Coturnix japonica: one gene and its partners. The main gene of each other region encodes a partner of the protein of the gene in region 3 in a complex. Links are inferred from orthologs where the notes say so. Each region holds a gene or a part of one and is shown on either strand. Other genes may lie near its edges. The genes, in order: ISCU, LYRM4 and NFS1.

The links.
Region 1: the proteins of NFS1 (region 3) and ISCU are in contact, whole or in part, in a crystal structure (PDB 6W1D), measured with the Homo sapiens proteins. The link is inferred for Coturnix japonica from reciprocal best matches to the Homo sapiens genes NFS1 and ISCU. Residues at the interface, in NP_066923.3 of Homo sapiens: Tyr360, Val361, Glu362, Glu364, Ser365, Leu367, Met368, Ala369, Lys371, Glu399, Asp400, His403, Ser404, His429, Arg432, Leu433, Glu435, Met436, Ser437, Pro438, Leu439, Glu441, Met442, Trp454, Thr455; in NP_998760.1 of Homo sapiens: Tyr35, Val40, His42, Tyr43, Glu44, Val49, Gly50, Ser51, Leu63, Val64, Gly65, Ala66, Pro67, Ala68, Cys69, Gly70, Val72, Lys74, Phe90, Lys91, Thr92, Phe93, Gly94, Cys95, Gly96, Ile99, Lys135.
Region 2: the proteins of NFS1 (region 3) and LYRM4 are in contact, whole or in part, in a crystal structure (PDB 6W1D), measured with the Homo sapiens proteins. The link is inferred for Coturnix japonica from reciprocal best matches to the Homo sapiens genes NFS1 and LYRM4. Residues at the interface, in NP_066923.3 of Homo sapiens: Leu56, Arg57, Pro58, Leu59, Pro68, Leu69, Pro71, Arg72, Leu74, Asp75, Leu78, Glu314, Tyr317, Arg321, Asp372, Arg412, Phe413, Thr414, Thr415, Glu417, Glu418, Tyr421; in NP_065141.3 of Homo sapiens: Phe23, Tyr26, Asn27, Tyr28, Thr30, Tyr31, Arg34, Arg35, Asp38, Val65, Arg68, Gln69, Ile72, Thr78, Asp79, Lys80, Leu81, Ile82, Ile83, Asn85.

Annotation. Positions count from the first base shown.
Region 1 is NC_029530.1:5,666,932-5,673,573, reverse strand, and holds ISCU (iron-sulfur cluster assembly enzyme ISCU, mitochondrial), read right to left. Parts: upstream 3,766-6,642; 5' UTR 3,754-3,765; coding exon 3,667-3,753; intron 3,591-3,666; coding exon 3,477-3,590; intron 3,144-3,476; coding exon 3,033-3,143; intron 2,311-3,032; coding exon 2,232-2,310; intron 2,016-2,231; coding exon 1,924-2,015; 3' UTR 1,473-1,923; downstream 1-1,472. Other genes in the region: SART3 (squamous cell carcinoma antigen recognized by T-cells 3), read left to right, coding at 4,063-4,230, 5,469-5,595, 6,182-6,286, 6,437-6,621.
Region 2 is NC_029517.1:63,952,279-63,958,920, forward strand, and holds the start of LYRM4 (LYR motif-containing protein 4), read right to left. Parts: upstream 4,105-6,642; 5' UTR 4,088-4,104; coding exon 3,984-4,087; intron 1-3,983.
Region 3 is NC_029535.1:929,035-935,576, reverse strand, and holds part of NFS1 (cysteine desulfurase, mitochondrial), read right to left. Parts: coding exon 6,457-6,542; intron 5,396-6,456; coding exon 5,238-5,395; intron 4,291-5,237; coding exon 4,185-4,290; intron 4,005-4,184; coding exon 3,923-4,004; intron 2,601-3,922; coding exon 2,517-2,600; intron 2,392-2,516; coding exon 2,302-2,391; intron 1,673-2,301; coding exon 1,609-1,672; 3' UTR 1-1,608.

The DNA of each region.
Region 1 (6,642 bases), on a different chromosome or scaffold from region 3:
TGTTAGGCCATGGGCTGAATCATTGAGCAGCTGGTGAAGGGGTGTAGTCAGCCCTGGGAGCACAGGTGGAAGCAATTCACCTGGGTCCACCCCTCCTTAACCTCATTTAAGGGCTGGCAGCCACAAAGGAAGCATCTCTACCTGGAGATTGGCTCCTTTGTCACATTTGATGAGCCCTGATCCTTGGAAATGGGGTGAGCAATTCTTTCTTTATTACTGGATTGTGACCACTACCTTTCTTGGGTTTAAAGCAACTGTATCTGCTGTCATCTATCCTTACACCTCACATCCTTTTACCAATGTCGCTCTATGCTTTTAATATATCCCCATTACTCCAGCTGACAGCATTTTGCAGGGAAACCAAAGGATTCCCCCAAACAGGAGTGACAACAACTTAAAATAATAACTCAAAAAATAATTACATTGCAGACAGAAACCAGAACGAGCCACTTATTTTTACTGAATGTTGTTTTTAATGCAGCTGTGCAACATCATAGGTATGAAAACTGGAAAGGAAGATAGGGTGGGGCGTGGGGTGAGGATGTTATAAGAGCAAGGGAGGTTTTTAAGTGCATTTTCTTTTGATTTGAAGATCTGTGGCAACACTCCCTTGGAAAACAGCCATCGCTGTGAGGCACAGGGGAGCACAGTGGTCTAAAGAACAGAGGGTAAGCCATGCTGTGTGGCCATAAAACGCCTGTTTTGAACTGACTCTGTGCCCCACGCTCCCAAGGAGCCCAGCTCATGTGGTGGGTGGGCAAATCCTCCACTTGGTGAGTGCTACCCCTGTGCTCTCTTCATAACTCACTCCTCCAGCGAAGCAGTTTGAGCAGCTTTAGCTGTGCACACAGAGCTGCTCGGGGGAGGTATCTGCCAGGCTGTGTTTTTGAGGTTTCTTTCCACAAATGAAGAGAATCCAGCCCTAAAACTACCAAAGGCAACAACAGAAGCTATCAGAAATAGCATCCAAAATCAGCTCCAGCAGCAGGTAAGGATCCCCTTCTGCCCCTGGCTTAGTACCAAGAGCACTGGCTGCTCTCTCTGCCCTGGAAGGGATGGGGGAAGTTCAGAAGACACCCCCAGAGGGCACAGGCTGACTCCTGCTCTTCCAGGGAGGTTCCCCTCAGTATTACATCCCAGTTAAGCTATTTGCATTCTGGGTTTGAATCCTCAGCGTGTGTTTAATCTCCCTTAACAGTATTTGGCAAACTAAAGGGTTGAATGCTTTTAAAAGATGCTCCAACATTAACCCTCCTGCTATTGGAGGATGTGAACACAAACATGTCCTGCTAACGCTGCTGGCTCTGAGCTTCCTGGCAACCAACTGCAGCTGCTGTTATTTGCTCACCTCCCACAGTCAGTGCCCTCTAGTGCCTGGTGAAGCATCCCAGCTCCTCCCAGAGAGCAGCGTGACGCAGGGGATAGACAGCATGTGAGAGGTCACAGATTGTGAAACCAAACTCCAACACAGCTGCAGCCAAACCACATGAGATTTATATATACTGTATTGATTGACAAAGTGACCCACATAAAGACCAAGGCAACCAAGTTTCCCACCAAACTCTTTGTAAAACATTAGGCAAAACTATACAGAAGAAAAAAAGTGCAGCCCTTCCAATGCTGGAACAGGAGGATTCTTTCTCTCTTGAGAAGCTACCGGGGGGTTGCCCTGAAGCAGAGCAGCCCTTCACTCTCACCATTTCAAAACCAATCCTGACAGGACACAGGCTGCTGAAATACCCACGTTCCAGTCATTTAAGCACTACCAGGGTGGCTGTACACACATGACCAGTGACACGTTGTGCGTTGAGTTGTGCGTATCTTACAGCTTCTTGAGTAGTGCACAGGATTCTATTAACAGCTAGAATAATTGCACTGCAAATTGAACTGGAATGAGGACAACCTCTACAGTCTGTTTAGGAATTAGTCTGCTTTCTGCTCTGACTCTCCTTTCTTTGGATCCTGTTTCAGTTTGTAGTCAGCCAAGGCAGCCTTGATTGCATCCTCAGCCAGCACTAGGGGAGAAAAAGAGCACAAAACAATGTCATTTACAAGCACTTTAAATAACAGTGACAAGTCACTTAGAACAAAAGATGCAGTACAAGCAGAAGCAGCCAGCAATAACCACCACTGTGGGTCAGCCTTAGCTGCTATGTGTGCAAAGCTTTATTTGGAGAACGTACAAAAGCATCTGTGTTCTCAAATAACAACGTGTTTGATGCTTTACTTACTAGAGCAATGCAGTTTGACCGGAGGAAGGCAAAGTTCTTTTGCAATGTCTGTGTTCTTGATTTTCAATGCTTCATCAATCTGAAATGTATGGGTAGGGTACAGTCATCAGTCAGGCATACACATGTACATATGATGCCCACACACCACGCAGGTATTTGATACAGGTGTGCTTCAAAGCACTGGAACCAACCAAAGTCACGCTCTGAGAAGGCAGTAAAAGCTGCTGATAGTGTTCTACCATAAGAAAGGCCTTTCAATAATACCTGTTTTATTCTGCTCCTGCCAAGCAACAAATCTGCAACCTACTACAGGGAACCTCCTTTGGCAGAGGAGCTGGACTAGGTGATACTCAGAGGTCCATTTCAACCCCTGATTCTATGAAATATAAGGAATGTCTCAAAGTGTGCAGTGCTTGTTAATAAACCAGAGCATTATTTTACTGCTGACCAACTGCAGGGACTGTTCCAGGTTTGTTCTGCTGTAATATAGAAACAACCTGCTTGTCACAATGCCAAGCACACGGAGATCAGCCAATGGAAGACATTCCACTATACAAGTGCTTTCTTTATCTATTTTCGATTGCTGTGTAGCACCCAAAGCTTCTTCACAGCTTATTGGAGACTTCCAGAAAAGGCAAATATTGCTTTAAAAGTCAGGAAAGATGAAACTGCATTCTGAGCTTCTATGTGAGTGTAACACCTGGAGAGCACCTCTCTAGACCCCTGTTTCCTTCCCTGATCCCAGCAGTGGGTGTGAATATGTACCTGCTCCCCACTGTGCCCCTTAAGCCAAGCCCTTACCGTCTTCCCTTTCACCCACTCTGTTGCCAAGGAGCTGGAAGCGATGGCAGAACCACAACCGAAGGTTTTGAAGCGAGCATCAACAATGCGGCCGTTCTCATCCACTTCCACCTGTGGGAGTTATCAGAGGGGCGCTCAGTTCCACGTAGGAACCACACACAAAGGGACAGCGATAGGACAGCGAGTTTAAGGCTGGGGGTTTATCGGATTTTAGGGCCTGCAGAGGGACTTTAAGGGACAATGAGTTTAAGGCTGGGGGTCTATTGGATTTTAGGATCTGCAGAGGGGCGTAAAGGGACAGCGAGTTTAAGGCTGGGGGTCTATTGGATTTTAGGGCCTGCAGAGGGGCTTAAAGGGGGTGTGACGGAGGAATCCTATGTCACAGCCATATGGTGGCAGACACTGATGGTTGTGTCCTTACAGGGCACCCCGTGCTCCCCTCACCTGCAGCTTCATAACGTCTCCACAGGCCGGGGCTCCCACCAGGCCCGTACCCACGTTCTTTGCGTTGCGATCGAGAGAGCCCACGTTCCGCGGGTTCTCGTAGTGATCCACCACCTGCGAGAACAACGTGTCACTAACAACCCCCAACGGGCACTATGGGCTCCCCACAGCCCTACCCGGCCCCTCTCACCTTCTTGTGGTAGCCCGCCCCCCCCACCGCCGTCGCCCCCCGCCCGGGCCGCAGCAGCGCCGCCCCCGCCGCCCTCAGCGCCGCCATCTTGAGTCTGCCCGCACCTGGCAGCGGCGCTCTGCCCCAACCCTCCCGAAGGACCCCTGGAGGCCGAGGCCCTGAGGTGTCCGTGGCGCTGCCTCTGCAGCAGACTAAATTATAAGGAGTAACGGGCCGAGCTGCTCGGCTTTTCGTGGCAGTTGGACGCGGAGAAGAGCAGAACCTTGTCGGGAGAGTTTATCGTCCTTTCTTTCACCGCTTTTGGCTGGGGGGAATGTACAATATTGAGACAGGCGCGCAGTAGCCAACCCCATCGGCTGGCTGAGAGCGGCCGGCAGCGAGGCGAGCTGCAACAAGATGGCGGCGGCGGGAGCCGAGGCGGCGGTGGAGGAGGAGAAGCGTGTGGTGGAGGGAGACCCCGAGTCGGGGGGGGATTCGGAGGATGAAGGCGACTCGGATTCATCAGGAGACGGCGAGGATGAGGAGAAGGAGAACGAGGCGGAGATCCAGCGGCTGGAGGAGCAGGTGGGGCCCGGCTGTACCGTGCTTTGGTTATGGAGATCTGGAAACGCCTCCGGGCGTGATGCCTTTTAATTCGCTTTTTATTCCTCGCTTCAGGGCGAGAGAGACTCAGGGAGCAGCCCTGGTATGTTGAAAGTGAACTCAGATGGTGGTTTCCTTAGTGATCTTGAAGGAATTAAAACGCGTTTGCTGAGGAGGGCTCACTGGGTGTTAGCGCTGTGTCTGTACTTGGGGGCTCTCGGGCCTTAGGGCTGTGAGTTCAGTCTTCTGCAGAACTTTAAAGCCCAGCTTTAGTAACAGGGATCTTCTATGAAGGGCTGCAGAGGTGGTCGGGGCCTGCAGCTTCTATTTGAGGAGCCCTGAGGCTGCCCTTGAGGCAGGAGGGAAGGCTGAGGGAGCAGCACTTGTCAGGGTAGAAATCGTGAAGATGGGGCCAGGTTCTTTTCAGCCATGCCCAGCTACACGATAAGGGGCAGTGGGCACAAACTGGAACCCAGGAAGTTCTATCTGAACGTGAGAAATAACTTCTTCGCTGTGAAGTTGACAGAGCCCTGACACAAGCTGCCCAGGGAGGTGGTGGAGTTTCTTTCTTTAGAGATGCTCAGGATCCACTGGGATGCTTTCTAATGCTACCTGCTGGGGGGAGGGTTGGACTGAGGGATCCTCAGAGGACTTTGCCTTTTCCTGTCACTTACAGTTCTGTGATTCTGTGTAACTGAGCAGGGAGGTGAATGTCTGTCTGTACTTGGCCCTGGTGAAGGCAAGGCATCTTAAGTGCTGCGTTTAATTTACTCACTACAGAAGAAAGGCATCAAGGCCCTGGAGCATGTCTGGAGTAGGGCAGCAGAGCTGTAAAGGGTTTGGAGTACGAGCTATATGGGGAGAGGTTGAGGGAGCTGGGGATCACAGAATTGTAGGATGGTTCTCCACTACTCCCTGAAAAGAGGTTGTAGCAGGGTGGGAGTTGCTCTCTTCTCCCATATAACAGCGATGGGACAAGAGGCAAAGGCCTTAAGTTATACCAGGGGAGGTTCTTGTTGAGTATTGGGAATGACTGCTTCTTCAAAAGAGCAGTCAGGAATTGAGACAAGCTGTCCAGGGAGGTGGTGGGATCACCATCCCTGGAGGTGTTCAAGAACTGCAGGGATGTGACACATAGAAAACAGTGTGTAAAGTTCTGTTCTGCTGAGTATTTGCTGACTTCTGCAAGCCTTTAAAAACTTCCTTTATTTTCTTTAAAGCTTTCCATCAATGCTTTTGACTACAATTGCCACTTGGATCTGATAAAGCTGCTCCGCCAAGAGGGAGAGCTGGTGAAGCTCAGAAGAGCTCGGCAGAAGATGAGTGAACTCTTCCCACTTACTGAAGGTACAGAGCTGCTTCTCCTTGCAGCTGGTAATACTGATGAAGCATCATCAGTGTGAAATACTCTTTGTGCCAGGTTTCAGCCATGCTGTTCCAGCCTAAAGGATCAGATTGAAGCTCTGAACTCAACTTGAAGCAGGCCTTTCTTTTTATTTATAGTTAACACTGTAACAATATAAATACCTGGCAGTGGGCTTTTAGCTTTGGCAAGTGAAGGTTTCCTCTTAGGCATGTGGGAACCTGCAGCCTCTAAAGCCATCTGCTGTTTCTTGTAAAAAAGAAGGAAACTGTGCCACTCAATGCCTCTTTGCTGGCCTATGTGCATTCTCTGTGCATGGTGCTGACCAATTGCTGCTCACAGCTTCATCTCTCTTTAAATAGAAGCATACTTGCTTAGGACTAGGTTGGAGACATCAGTACCAAACTTTTCATTTAAACTAATTGTGTGTAGATGCGGGGACTTAAAATTGCTCTTTTTCTCCCCATTTTCTCTATCCCCATTTTTAAGCCTGTTATTAAAAAATAACCAAAAATGTAAAGGGAAAAGTTTTTTTCCAAGCGTTGGTGACTGTAAACTTCTTGGTTTCAGAAATCTGGCTGGACTGGTTGAAGGATGAGATAAAAATGGCTTCTGAGATCTCAGAGCGAGAGAAAGTTTATGAGCTGTTTGAGAGAGCCGTGAAGGATTACATCTGTAAGTTCTTAATGTGTGGGAGTTAAAAAAACATTTAAAGGTCTATTATACTGAATAGTAAAGACAATTTCTATGCCTTTGGATAAGTATTTGAGATGCCTTTGTATTTTCGAGGACATCAGCTCTCCTGTTTCTCATAACTTTGTTTAGGTCCTGAAATTTGGCTGGAATATGCCCAGTATTCAATCGGTGGCATTGGTCAGGAAGGAGGAATTGAGAAAGTTCGCTCAATATTTGAGAGAGCATTGACAGCGGTTGGGCTGCACGTGACAAAAGGAACAGCTCTGTGGGAAGCGTACCGTGAGTTTGAGAATGCCATCCTGGAGACAGCACAGGTAAGGCTGGTCTGATGGGCT
Region 2 (6,642 bases), on a different chromosome or scaffold from region 3:
AAATAAGGCAGAAAGCCAAGATAAGATTTAATACAGATATGATAGAACTTTTGATTATGATTCTGATCAATAAAAAAATGGAAATTCCGTCTAGGAAGTAACAAGGTAGACACATTTACGATTGTTTTGAATATCTTGTGTTAAATTGATGGTCGAGCTGTTTAAAGCAAGGTTTCACACCTTTCTTCATTGCAGGTGAGCACAGAGTGGTACACTGACATATTTGTTTTGACTTTTCTTTGTCCTGGTTCCTCACCTTAGCCTAAGTTGATCAGCACATTTGGTAACTGAGTAAGAATTTAAATGAGGTAGCACGCCTACATACATATACACATATACACGCCTACGTACACATACATACATACGCCTACATACATTTGTCTACATACATACACACATAAATACGTCTACATATATATACATGTGTGTATATGTATATACGTATTTATATATACATGTATACACACATATGTATAAGTATATATACACATACATATGTATATATACATGTATATGTATATATATATGTATATGTATATATATATGTATACACACACATACATATATATACCCACACACACATATACACACACGCACTTACTGTAGGTCACTAAGAGTTACTAGACCTTTAGATACAGAACACCTAGATGGCCATGCCAATCTCAACAGTGCTGACAACAAGAGATTTTTTTCCTATCCAATGGGATTTATGGGCTTATTAGCTCACTGTCACTAACTAAAAGAAATTAAAAAAACACTGTTTACATTTAATTTATATATGGAGTCTACTGCAAAACCACAGAAATCCAACTCATGTTTCAGAAGTGCAGCTCTAATATCTAAAAGCATTTTAAGATCATGCTCTGCCCTACATAGTAAAAGCCCTGAGTGCTTACTTACTGTGTTTTCATTCAAAATAGGAACAAACAAACCATCCAACCATATTGATCCTTATTTGCAATCAGTTGTTTTAACAGTTGTAACACTGTTACATGATGGAAACAGCAGCAATGACAGCAGAGCAGCAAAGTCCTAGGCCACAGCAAGTGGGGACCTGCTCAAATGCAAAAGCTCTAGACACAGAAATAAAGGAAAGAATCCGACTACTTTTGGAAGGCCTCAGGTAAACAGGGATCTCTAGCAAAAAATCCTTACTTCCACTGCCAACCCTTAAATGAGATCTGGGAAGGATTAGCTCATACCTGAGCTCCCCTGGGTTGGCCCTGCCTTCCCACCAGGTGCTCAGTCACTGCTTCAAGCCATGACTTAGCATCCCCACTAAAAACACATTTCACGAGTTGTATATATATATATTTAATGCCGAACAAAAGCATTTTAAAACAAATCTAAATAGAATTTCATTTGTCATTTAAATAGCAGAGGCCACCTCCTCCTGAGATCGTAACCTATCACACTACAAACTATCAGAGGATCTCCTTTTTGTCAAACATACCAAAAAAAGGATACCCTCATTACGAACTACCTTTCTTGACTGAAAACTTGACACCTTTCCTCTTCATATATTGATTTTCCAGGAGTACAAATCAAGTTCCTTTCTTCAGATTGTCTGTAAGGTTGATAGAGCAGAATGGCAGACATGAAATTACTTACTGTCTGCTAAGTTCTCCCCTGATGTTAAAATCTGGCAGCACACCTGGGCTGCAGAAGTCTCCTTAACACTTAGTGCAGGACTCCAGAGACAACCCTGTGTGCTGTTACTCTCAGACAGTCAGCGGTGACCTCTGTTTTTTAAAGGTTTTAACGCTGTTCTTCACAGTTACAGCACTAAAAGTTCTGCTGGGCGGCAGAATAAAATGTATTACATGAATTACTAGAATGCTTACAGAGCAAAAATACTCAATTTTACATCACAATCTACCCATACACTTAAGAGAAAAAGCACAGAAAGCAAACATGGAGACAACGACCAGCGGACCATCCTTCAGATGCACACTTATGCACTGCTTGCAACAGCATTCTGAATTTCTGCAGCTGCAAACATGAATCACTATGATTTATCTTATTTCTTCACAACAAACTAGTTGTATACAAAGTCACTGCCATGCCCTGGAAGAAATTTAATATCACATTACAGCAGCCACAAGGACGCAGGAGAACTGCTTATCAGGGCAGGGAAGCAGCTCACACGGTGCCCATGTTAGCGGTGCATGGAGTGTAAAGAAACAGCAATGCAGGATGGCTGTTGTGTTCGTGGCAGATCTCTAGGTGTAACAGCTGCCTACTGCTTCTTGCTAGAAACTGCTATTGCATTTGGTGTTCATAAACTCTCTTAGAGAGGCATACTTTTGGTATAAAGTAGTAAATGACCTCTAAGCAAAAGCACCTGGGCGAGAAGCAGGCACTTGTCCCAACTGTCCCTGGGCTCTCTCTGCCTACCCAGTACTCAGCCCTGGGCTGCAGCTCCCAGACTGGGCTCTCCCTTAACTATTAAAAGAGCATCCAAAGGAGGGCTACAAAGGTGGATAAGAGTCCACAGGGCAAGATGTAGGTGGAGCAGCTGGGATCCCTGGGTTTGATCAGCCCACAGCAGAGGAGCTGAGGCCTCATGGTGACAGCAGCTCCTCACAGGGAGCAGAGGGGTAGCATTGAGCTCTGCTCTGTGTGACAGCAATGGGGCCCGAGGGAACAGCATGGAGTTGTGCCAGGGGAGGGGCAGCTGGGGGTCAGGGACAGGGTCTGCACCAGAGGGCAGTGGGCACAGACCCAAGCTGCCAGAGCTCAAGGAGCATTTGGACAATGCTCTCAAACACAGGGTTTGAATTTCAGGTGGTCCTATGAGAAGCAGGACTGAATAATGCTTGTAGGTTCCTTCCAACTCAGGATATTCTATGATTTTACACGTTCACTGGTTTTATAGTATCTAAGGAAAGGTCTATATATAAAACTGAGATCTTTTCTTAAGGAAAGTGAAAGCATGCACCCCAACACAGCACCAAGAAATAGCTAATACCCAAGGTAAACATGTACCTTCTGATTTCCAAGCTGCAAAATTTGTTAGCATAAAAACACTCACTAGTCCACCTGATGCTGTATGATGGCCAGTTTTTAACCATAAGCCAAAACATCCACATGGTTTAGACCCCTCAGACACATATCTCTCTGTAGGGAGAACCTAAGCTCTGGGTATAGCTTACAGAAGAGGAGAGAACCTAATAGTTCCTTAAATCCACAACTTCTGCACTGATAACCCCAGCTGGAAATAATGTAATTCAGATTAGGAGCTGCGCACCACCACTCACAGCCTCATGCCATCCCTGTTGCATTCAGACATCCTTGCTGCTCAACATAATACTAAGCACTTGGGGCAGGAAGAAGGCTCAATAGTAGGAGAGCTAAGGCAGAAAGAGGGGAACTTGAGGAGTTAGCAATAAGGGCTTAGGAGTTCCAGCACTTCAGGCTTCCTGTCAGGGCACTCTGACACAGGAAATAACACATATTCCTTAAGGGTCACAGAACTTGCTGTGGTTATGCCAGTTCAAAACCTTCTGTTTCCAGCTCAGCAGTTCTTGCAGGCCTGGAGATGATTCACAGCGAAGGTATCTCACGTGCCTCCGTGGTACCACAGAGTGGTAAGCAGCCTTGCCAGGGGGCAAGGCAGCAGGGACCCGCACACAGCTAGGCCTGTGCCTGCAGCAGCCGGCTGCCCTTTACTAAAAGCACTGTCCAGAGCAGACAGTCAGTCAAGCAGCCATGCTACACGGCACCATATGCAGCCCTGCTCCCTCACACTGCACCCAAACTGCATCGTGTGAGCCAGGAACTCCTCCAGCACAGGCTCAGCCCGCAGCATTCAGACAGCCGACAGAGCAGCTCCCTGCAGTCAGCTTCAGCCCTTCGCTTGCCCCTTCGCAAGGTGCCCCGAGCCACCCATGTCCTCCAGCTACAAACGTGCACAGGGAGCGAAGAGAAAACGTCCTGAACCCTCCTCACCCCGAGACTCCCCGTTATTCCCCCTTCCCGACCTCCACGAGGAGCAGCACCTGTAATTGTAGCCGCTGAATCGCTGGCTCTCTCTCAGCAGAGCACGGTACAGCCGCAGCACCTGGGCCCGGCTGGACGCTGCCATGTTGCCGGCTCAAAGCGGCTCCTCCCGCCCGGGCCCTTTTCCCCGCCCGCGGCGCCCGGAGCCGCCTCCTGAACCCGGCCTTCAATGCGCGGCGCCCGGCGACACGACGCGGTGAGTGGCGGTCTGGCCTGCGAGGAGTTAAGCCTTGAGCCTTAGGGCTGGCCTATGCTGCTGGGTGGGGAAGATGCCGACGGCCTAGGCCCGGTGAGGCGGCCCCGAGTTGGGCGGTGGGGTGTTTTTGTGCTGGTGCAGCGTGGATCTCGGTTGTACGTGCGGCTTTTGCGTTGTTGTGTGAGTTTGAGGCCTTAAAGGTGCGTGGAGGAAGCAGGCGTTGAGTGTAAATAACGCGGAGGGAGAGGGGTGAATGCTGTGCGAAGTTGAACGGTGTAAGGTTGGGGTTGGGGTCGGGCCTGGAAGTAAGCAGCAGGTGAATAACGTTGGGTCGTTGATCTGTATTTTCTAAGCACGTTTTCAGTCATAGAGGCTGAATGCACCATGGGCTTTGCCTGCTGCTGCCCGGTGCTGTGAGCACCAGGCAGCACTTCTGTGTTTTGTGCTGACGAGCACTTGCACAGGCTGCCCAGAGGCTGTTAATCTCCTCCTTGGAAGCTGCCTGAGTAAGGAGCCCGATTCCCCTGCTCTGGGCACCCTGCTGCAGCTGGGATTGGGTCAGATGGACCACAGGGTCCTGCCAGCATCAGCCCTTCTGTTATTCTGTGCTCTGTGAATCGTTCTTCCCTTCAACACCCCATTTGGAGTTGAATTCTGTTATTAGAACCATACTTGTTTTACTCAGCTCAGATGCTGTTTGAATTAAGAAGTGAGAACTTCTGAGGGATATTAACAAGTTCTTTCCTGCCTCAGCACTTATATTTGCAAGAGGAAACCCCCATTATCATATTCCTAACTTCCTCTACAGCTGTGAGAAATGGCCATAGTGCTGCTATTGTTAATTTAATGCACAGGCCCACGTGTGTTAGAACAGGCCTTGGAGAGGGCAGTCCCCAGGCAGCAGCCTATATACACACTGCCTTGGTATTACACAGTCCCAGAGAACAACAGGTACCTGAACAGTTTTAAATAGGCTCTGCCTGTTTATTTGGATTTTATTCTCTGCAGCAAGGCTGAGACTCAAATTCTACATAATCACCTCTAATGTTTTCTATGCCTGAGGCATCCTGGTACTGTTCCTGCTGGGAACACATAGCATCCCCTTCTGATGAAAGTTTTGCCACTACAGAAGAAATTTGGCCTTGTAACTTAACATATATGTTGCCCTACCTGTGTTGACAATATTATAATATGAATTCTTTATATTCTTACTTCATGGCACATTTTGTAAATAGGATATGTTTATATTTATTCTAAGTGTGTATTTCAATTCTAAATTCTAAAAGTATTTCAATTGCTGCTAATTAAACTCATTGTATATGTATGCATGGGTATTTTATTTGTGTCAGTTGTACATGTGATGCAATTATTTCATAATAAAGAAACTAAAGTAGTTCCTAGTATAATTAATATCACTGATGTGTCTCAAATATTTTGCATGAATGCTCATGTGGTCTTTATATTAGAGAAGCCCTTTTAGGCTTCTGGAAACTGACATTTTCCACACATTCCAGATTTCTTGGGTTTTCTTTTTGTCCAAATCCAAACTAGAAATGATACAGGAAATGCTTTTTTATTTTATTTTATTATTTTTTTTAGGAAAATAGAAGCAATGGAGACATCACAATGAGCGTCATGTTGTCAAGGCCTTCCTTTTACAGTGTCTTTTACGCCAGCTTTTGGCCTTCTGGAAACACAAACAGAAAACTTTGCTGAATGCATGGTTCAAAAAACCCTGTATTTAAAGAACCTGAAGAACGCTGGGTGGAGGACTGAATCCTTGTAGCCCAAGCTATGTTGCTAGCCCAGTCTGCCATGCCAATAGTAGAATCTACATGTATTACCAGTGCTCCCCCATCCTTGTAGTTTTCAGCAGTTGGGGTGCTTAATATGTGTTAAAGCAGAACAGTTTTAATCCATAGATTTCAGCAACCCTATCCTTTGTTTTGGTCATGGGTTTCAGGCAGCTTAAAAGATGTCATGTGCAAAACGAAACCTAGCTTTGAGAGTTCAGAGAAATTATATGAAGGTATTCTGTAGGTGAGCGTGGCAATGGCTCTATCTAATCTTAGAGTAAGCTTTATTATTTTCATTAAGTAGAATATTGATAGTACAGCCATCAGCTATGGAAGATGTGGGAGTGTAATTAGGAAGAAAGCAAAAGGTATTAGGTAAATTTTGGTTGCAAGAGCACTTGGTTTAATATTTGTAAGGTAATTATAGGTGATTTAGAAATGGCTTAGGGTGTTAATCCTGTTTCTGAATGTCCTTGACAGTGATTGAGATTCTTTATTTGTTTATTTATTTATTTTATGACCATTTTTTTTAAGAAGTATAAAAACTTTTTATCATAGAATTACCCAGGTTGGAAAAGACCTTGAAGATCATCAAGTCCAACCACAGCCTAACCATAGTACCCTAACTCTAACAACCCTACACTAAAT
Region 3 (6,542 bases):
AAGTCCTAAAACATGCAGGGGAATTCTTAGCACATGCTTAACCCAGAAACCACACATGACCCAAAAATAAAATATAATACAAACAATGCCTCTAAAACGTAGTTACGCATATGAGAGCTTTAAAACATGGTGATGAAACATAAGGTGCCGATCAGTCGTACAATATCAAACCTGCTAAGGCTAGTAATTTCAAATAGAACCATTCAGGATTAGCTTTGCATTACAACCAAATCCGTCCTTAACAGAAAAATTAACAATTCTATAATTCAGTCCGCTCTGTGAGGCTTAGCTTCACCTTTTCCATACAGTGCTGCATCCTCGAGGTAGATACTACTCAGAACTGATGACATGCTGTCTATAATGTATACTAAATTCAGCATCCATTAACCAAGAAAATAATTTAAGAGCTGTCTGCTTATGCAACTGTTACAAAGGCACTTCGTAATACAGGGTAAAATTTCCTACTGGAAAGACCACCAAAGGTACGAAAGGAGAAATTCTGATACAAATTCATCTAATCAAACCCATTTTAACAGACACTTTTCCCCAGCATTCGCAGGGAATGGATTCCCATGGAAGCCTCTAACAGGACAAGTTAGCTCCGGCACACAAAGAAACAACTCCAGAGCCACATGTTCCCACCTACTGACAGAACAGCCAGGTTTGCCCACTGAGCAAGACTCCCAGAAGTGACAGAAGCCAATTGCCATAGGCAAAGACTACAGTAACAGCAAAGGACTCACTACAAGGGGAAAAAAAGGCAAAACTAGAACAAAACCAGAAGACCTTGTACATTATGTGCTTCCCCCCCTCCACCAATGGAGTACCAACTAAACTGGTACTGCAACTGAAGCCGGCGTGTTCTGTTCCTCCTCTCCCAGTCATTCAAGTTTTCTTTCTTCACTGAGTAGAAAAAAACAAACAGAGGGGACAGCAAAGTGCATTATAAAGGTATCCTAAATTCCGTAACACCAGACAGTGTTTGGTACAAATGCACACCGGTCTGTACAAGCAGCACATAAACACACACACACAAAGAGCAAAAAGTATTAAATTTTAGGGGGAAAAAAAAGAGTTCATAACTCCACATACAACTTAACTGTGAAGGCACGTAGCCACAGTGAGGCATCCTTTTCCTCTAGAAATGCCAAACTTCTTCCTACACAAAAAATTCTCTTGAGACATTTTAGCAGCACAAAAGCACCTGCAGCTGCAAGGCTGCCTCTAGGAGAACCTGCAGCCCAGCTACAGCTCTGTGCTGCAAACAGAACAGCTACACAGGATGTTTTATGCTGAGAACGAGCTATTTCTTACCAGGACTCCTCAGTTTTGTTTTTTACATTGCAAAATACATTTTCAAAGAGAGCACATCTCAGCATAAATTGCAGCGTATGAATATCAATGCAAAGGCTGTTATGTCATCCTGCCTTTCCCCAGCATACAGACTAGTTCAATTTTTGGCTTCTTAGGCTATTATTAGAAAAGGGAGCTTCCCATTTAAATTGCAAATGATAACAAGCTGAAATGTGCTGCATGTTTTTGTTCGGGAATGTACAGAAAATACATCTTAATCCACTTCAGTCTAGTCCACGGAGAGAGCTTGTTTTCTCAGTGCTGACTCCATTTAATGCTTTTGAGGTCAATTCCATCCTGCACCATTTCCCAAAGAGGACTGTAAAGAAGAAAGAAAAAAAAAATGAGTGCTATCTAAAATGCAAAGAACAACATCAGCAACAATAACCAAACAGGCGACATCACCAACTACATGACAAATTCAGGCGTATCCATCTGCCCTGCCCTGCTGGAGGTCAGTGAACTTCACACAACAAATCTCCAGTGTTGTACTCACACAAAACACAAACGGGAGAAGGCAGGTGCTCATCTCCTGCTCCCACTTTAGGCACGAAGTGCACATTTCTTAGAGGCTGAGCCCTCACAATTCACACTGCCCAGATAAGTCAGAGATCCTTCAGTTTCCCCAGAAGGAAATGAAGTGTATACATACATGCAGTAATACTATACCTGGCTTATAAACTCTGAGTTGCCATTCTCCATGCTTGCTCTACTCACATTACTTCCTCATATGGATAGGCTCTGGGAAATGGCTTGTTGACAGGTTTGTTTGCTTAAACATTTTTCACTACAGTTAAGATCAAGCCCACCACACACTCTGGCAACACTTCTTTGCATGCAGAGATACGAGCAGGTTTTTAAAGCAGACACCTTCTTTCAATTAAATCCAGTTCCACAAATGATTACCATACCTAAGAAGTCTCCAGATTCCACAAAAAGATGGCTCACCTCATTTCCCTCAGCCTCTTAACGTGCTGTATGCATTTCTGAACTGTATAATCTATTTCTTCCTCGGTAGTGAAACGACCAATGCCAAATCTAAAACAAAGGAAGAGCATTACTAACTGGAACGGTGTGCATATGGACAAGTGAAACAAACTCACCATGAATTTTCAGCAGAAAAGAAACATATCTGGAAGCAACAGGAAAATCACTCCACACACCTGATAGAGGAATGAGCCAAATCTTCATCTGCTCCAATTGCCCGCAAAACATATGAAGGCTCCAGAGAAGCTGATGTGCAAGCACTAGGGAAAGGGAAAGGGAAGAAAGGCCAATCTCACACTTAAATTCACATGCAGATGCTACACTTCACGATCTCCAACACAGAACATGTCACTTACACATCTAATATTATTAACCTTTACAATAAGGTTCCTCACCCACTTGGAAATAACTAGTGAACACAAGGAGAGAGGAGCAAGGGGAGTAGTAGCTCTGCTCCTAAAGAATGACAGGAGCAGATATGACATGGAAACGAAGGGTAAGTCAGGAGCAGGAGTAAAGAAGAGAATGCATAGATAACACTATGTATTAATACAGTACCAAACAGAAGCAGCAGTACTGCAGCCCAAGAGGCAGTTGAAGTAGAAGCTGTGTATAGAAGGTAAAAGAGCCAAGGCAGAACTACCCAGGGAAAGCAACCCATCAACAGGAACATTAAAAAGAGAGAGAAAGATTTCACAAGTTGCTGCCTGGCTGCATTACGAAGTAATAAAGAACAGGCACAGAGGAATCTGCAGCGAGATGGCCCAGGAATGGTAGAGGACACAGAACCTCCGTCCTCGAGCAGGAGGCAAAACTGGCTACGTGGTGTTACTCAATTTGAACAGGCAGCAACTTGCAGCACAAACCATAGTGCTGCTTAAAACAAGTGCATGAAGCAGAGACTCAGAACAGATCTTCATGTTAAAGGAGACTGCAAAGGCCAGTGCATGTGAAGACTTGTTCTCCTTGTTCATAATACCAACATATTTCAAATTAAGACACGCACTTCTGATTTTGTTCTCAGAGGTGAGAAAAGGAAGGCACTTCATTAACTTCATTGTAAGCACGAAGCTGGTGTTCATAGCAGAAATGTTGCTCCTGTAGAGTCAATACAGCTCTCTAAGAGTGCAATGAGTTTCCTTTCTGCTTTTACATTAAATACAGACTCTATTAACTAAGGTAAATTCCAATATCGGTCCAGCCGCAGTGGATACTCGTCATGATCTGCCACATGTGTGAAATGCTGCTGAAGGACAGAAGCCCCAATGGTGGCAGCCTTTAGAATGAATGTCACAACCAGTTACGATTTAAGTCTACCCAGACAACACAAAACGAGTCTGCAAAGCTGGCAGGTGGGAATTTCTAATTTTTTTGCTTTCAGGATGAGTAAATTTGACCTTCAGTAGAAACGTGTTGCTTCACATAAACACCACCCCAGAATGCAGCCAATGCCAGGCTGACTCACCAACCAACCCAGCAAACACCGGGCACAGAGCAGATCCCTCCTTACTTTGTAAGTCTATTAGCAGACGTTATTTTCTCTCCAAAATATGCTGCTCCCCTTCCCACACATCCCACCTACCTTCCTGAAGACAGAGCCACATCTTTCAGGGCCATGAGAAGACTCTCCCCTTCCACATACGCAAAAGATAAATTGACACATCCTACAAAAAATAAATGAAATAGAAAGAAGAACTCCCATCAAATGAAATGCACAAGAAACCCCACGCCACATGGCAGCACTCACACCACGGTTAACTACAGCGCATCACTCAGCCATGACCATCAATACCACAAAATACACAAAAATGTTTCTAGCAGGGTCAGGATTCTTCCAGCACTACCTGGATAACGATGCTCTCTGTCTCCATTCATAACCACATCAGGAACTTCGCTCATTATTTTCGTAACAAGCCGTTCTGCCAGTTGTGAGATTCGCTTATGGTCATACTGGCAAAGAAACCAAGAAAGAGATCAAAGAAAGCAACAGCGCAAGTCTGAGCTCACTGAACCACCCAGTGCCACCAGCTGTACATGGACTGAAGTATATGGGTGTGGTTATATGACATCTGAACCTTAAAAAGGGAACTTTAACACTCTTAATTCTACCAACACTTAAAAAAGAGAACTGCCGGGTTTTTGTGAAGGCTATTTCAACCTTCAAAACGTTACAAATAATTCAGAAAAATCCATCTACAAACAGCTCTCAGAGAAGTGCCAAGTTTTTGTGCTTCAATACAAGCCAGGCACACGACATTAAATGACTTGTCTTGCAACACAACCAAGGGCAGCTTTATGGTAGAAGCGTCCCTTGCTTGCCTAGGAGCTTTCAAAGTGTATTCCATAAAACATGGACTCACGATGAGTCACCACATGATGGCAGAGTTGTGAACTCAACCATCACGTGACTTTATAACATGTAACCTCCACAATGAGAGCTGCCCATGAGCTGAGTCTCATTCTAGACTAAAAACGATGTCACTTGCCCTAAAAAAGCAGTCAGGTATCAGCTCCAGTGCTCAGAAATGGACAGACACACACATCTGATTCATCCTTGCTTACAATAACCTGGTCACATTCTCCAAAAAAACCTTTAAAAGGAAACAACCTTTCTAATATGTTTTCTTTTTAAACGCCAGAATTCTGACAGAGCAGGAAAAGACTCCAGATGTGAGGCTCCTGCAGCACTGACCATACGAGGGCTCTTCAGCTTCCAACAAGGCTTCAGTAACCATAGGATCCCTGCCTGCCTCATAGGAAGCACCTCCACTCATGTGTCCCACTAGCAGCACATACAGCAGAACCAGCAAACAGAACGTTCTGATCAAGAACAAAACAACAACCCACCACCTACCACCAATTTCTGGCACCCGGGTCAGACGTGCTCTCCCACGTACCTCCATCTCTTCCTGTGCCACCTCACACGCAGCCCCCAGGCCCACAGCCAGCGGTGTGGGCACAGTCCCCGATCGCAGCCCTCTCTCCTGGCCTCCCCCGCTCTGCAGCGGTTCCAGCCGCACACGTGGCCGCCGGCGAACATAGATGGCACCAACCCCTGGACAACAAGGAGACAGCTGGATGCATGCAGCACACATCCACAGTTCTGCAATTATGCAAAGGGACTCCGAGATTGGGAAGCATTTGTTACCCCAGCAAACATGTACTTGGACACCTCAATGGAGAAAAACGTGTTGAACACAGATAGAAGCACAGTGCTTTCCAGAAAGCTCCCCTCCACCATCCATACAGCTCTACAGCTGCACTCCCAGAGCTCCTGACACTGGAGGAGCTCAGTTTCTCCCAGAACACTTCATCACTGGAGGGCTCTGTACTGCCCAAACTTCTGACAACCCCTGAGGAGATGAAGTTCAGCCCTCTGCTCCTTTTGTGCACAGATGTTTCATTCATTGAGGTGCCCACACTGATTTCCACCTCAACGCTGTAGAACTCCTTCCCCTGGATTAGCAGGCCAGCCACAAGTCCCACAGGGGGAGGCTCAGCCTTTGGACTTTTGTTTTTGAATACCATAGAGAATACGGCAAAGGTGACTTCTCCCTCTGTACATCCTGTGTCACAAACTACATGGACTGCAACAGTGACTGGGAGTCAGCCACAAAACCCATAGCTGGATTTTAAACCCCATACTGCAGAGATGTAGAAAGAGGGATGAGTGGGAAGAAGCCACTGGGAGTAGAAGATAACCAAAAATCACTGACTTTAAACTTTCCACTTACATTTTTATTTCCATGTTACAATTAACACTTGGACCTAAACTTAACCCCACAAATCTGAAGTATTTCAACCACTGCAGCATAAAAGCTGCTTCATACCCTTTGGAAGACCCTCAAAGAACTGCTCATCCTAACGCTACCACCATTACAAGACACCATTTCTTCCTTCGGTGAAGCCAGCTCACAACTTATAAGCACTGAAGAAGACCCAGCAGCACTGCCCGACCCACTGAAAGTCAGCCCTTACCAGGCTGAAAACAAACCACTACAGTTTAAGTAATAGCAGCATGCACCAGGACAGACAGGCTCGACTTTCTGCCTCGTGCAGTTATTTGTTTTTCATGCTTGCCTTAAAAACTCATCAGAAAAACACTTCAATGGATACCTTTGGGCCCATAAATCTTATGGCCACTGATGCTCATTAGGTCAATCTTCAAGTCATTGACGTCCAGAGGAATTTTTCCAACTGCT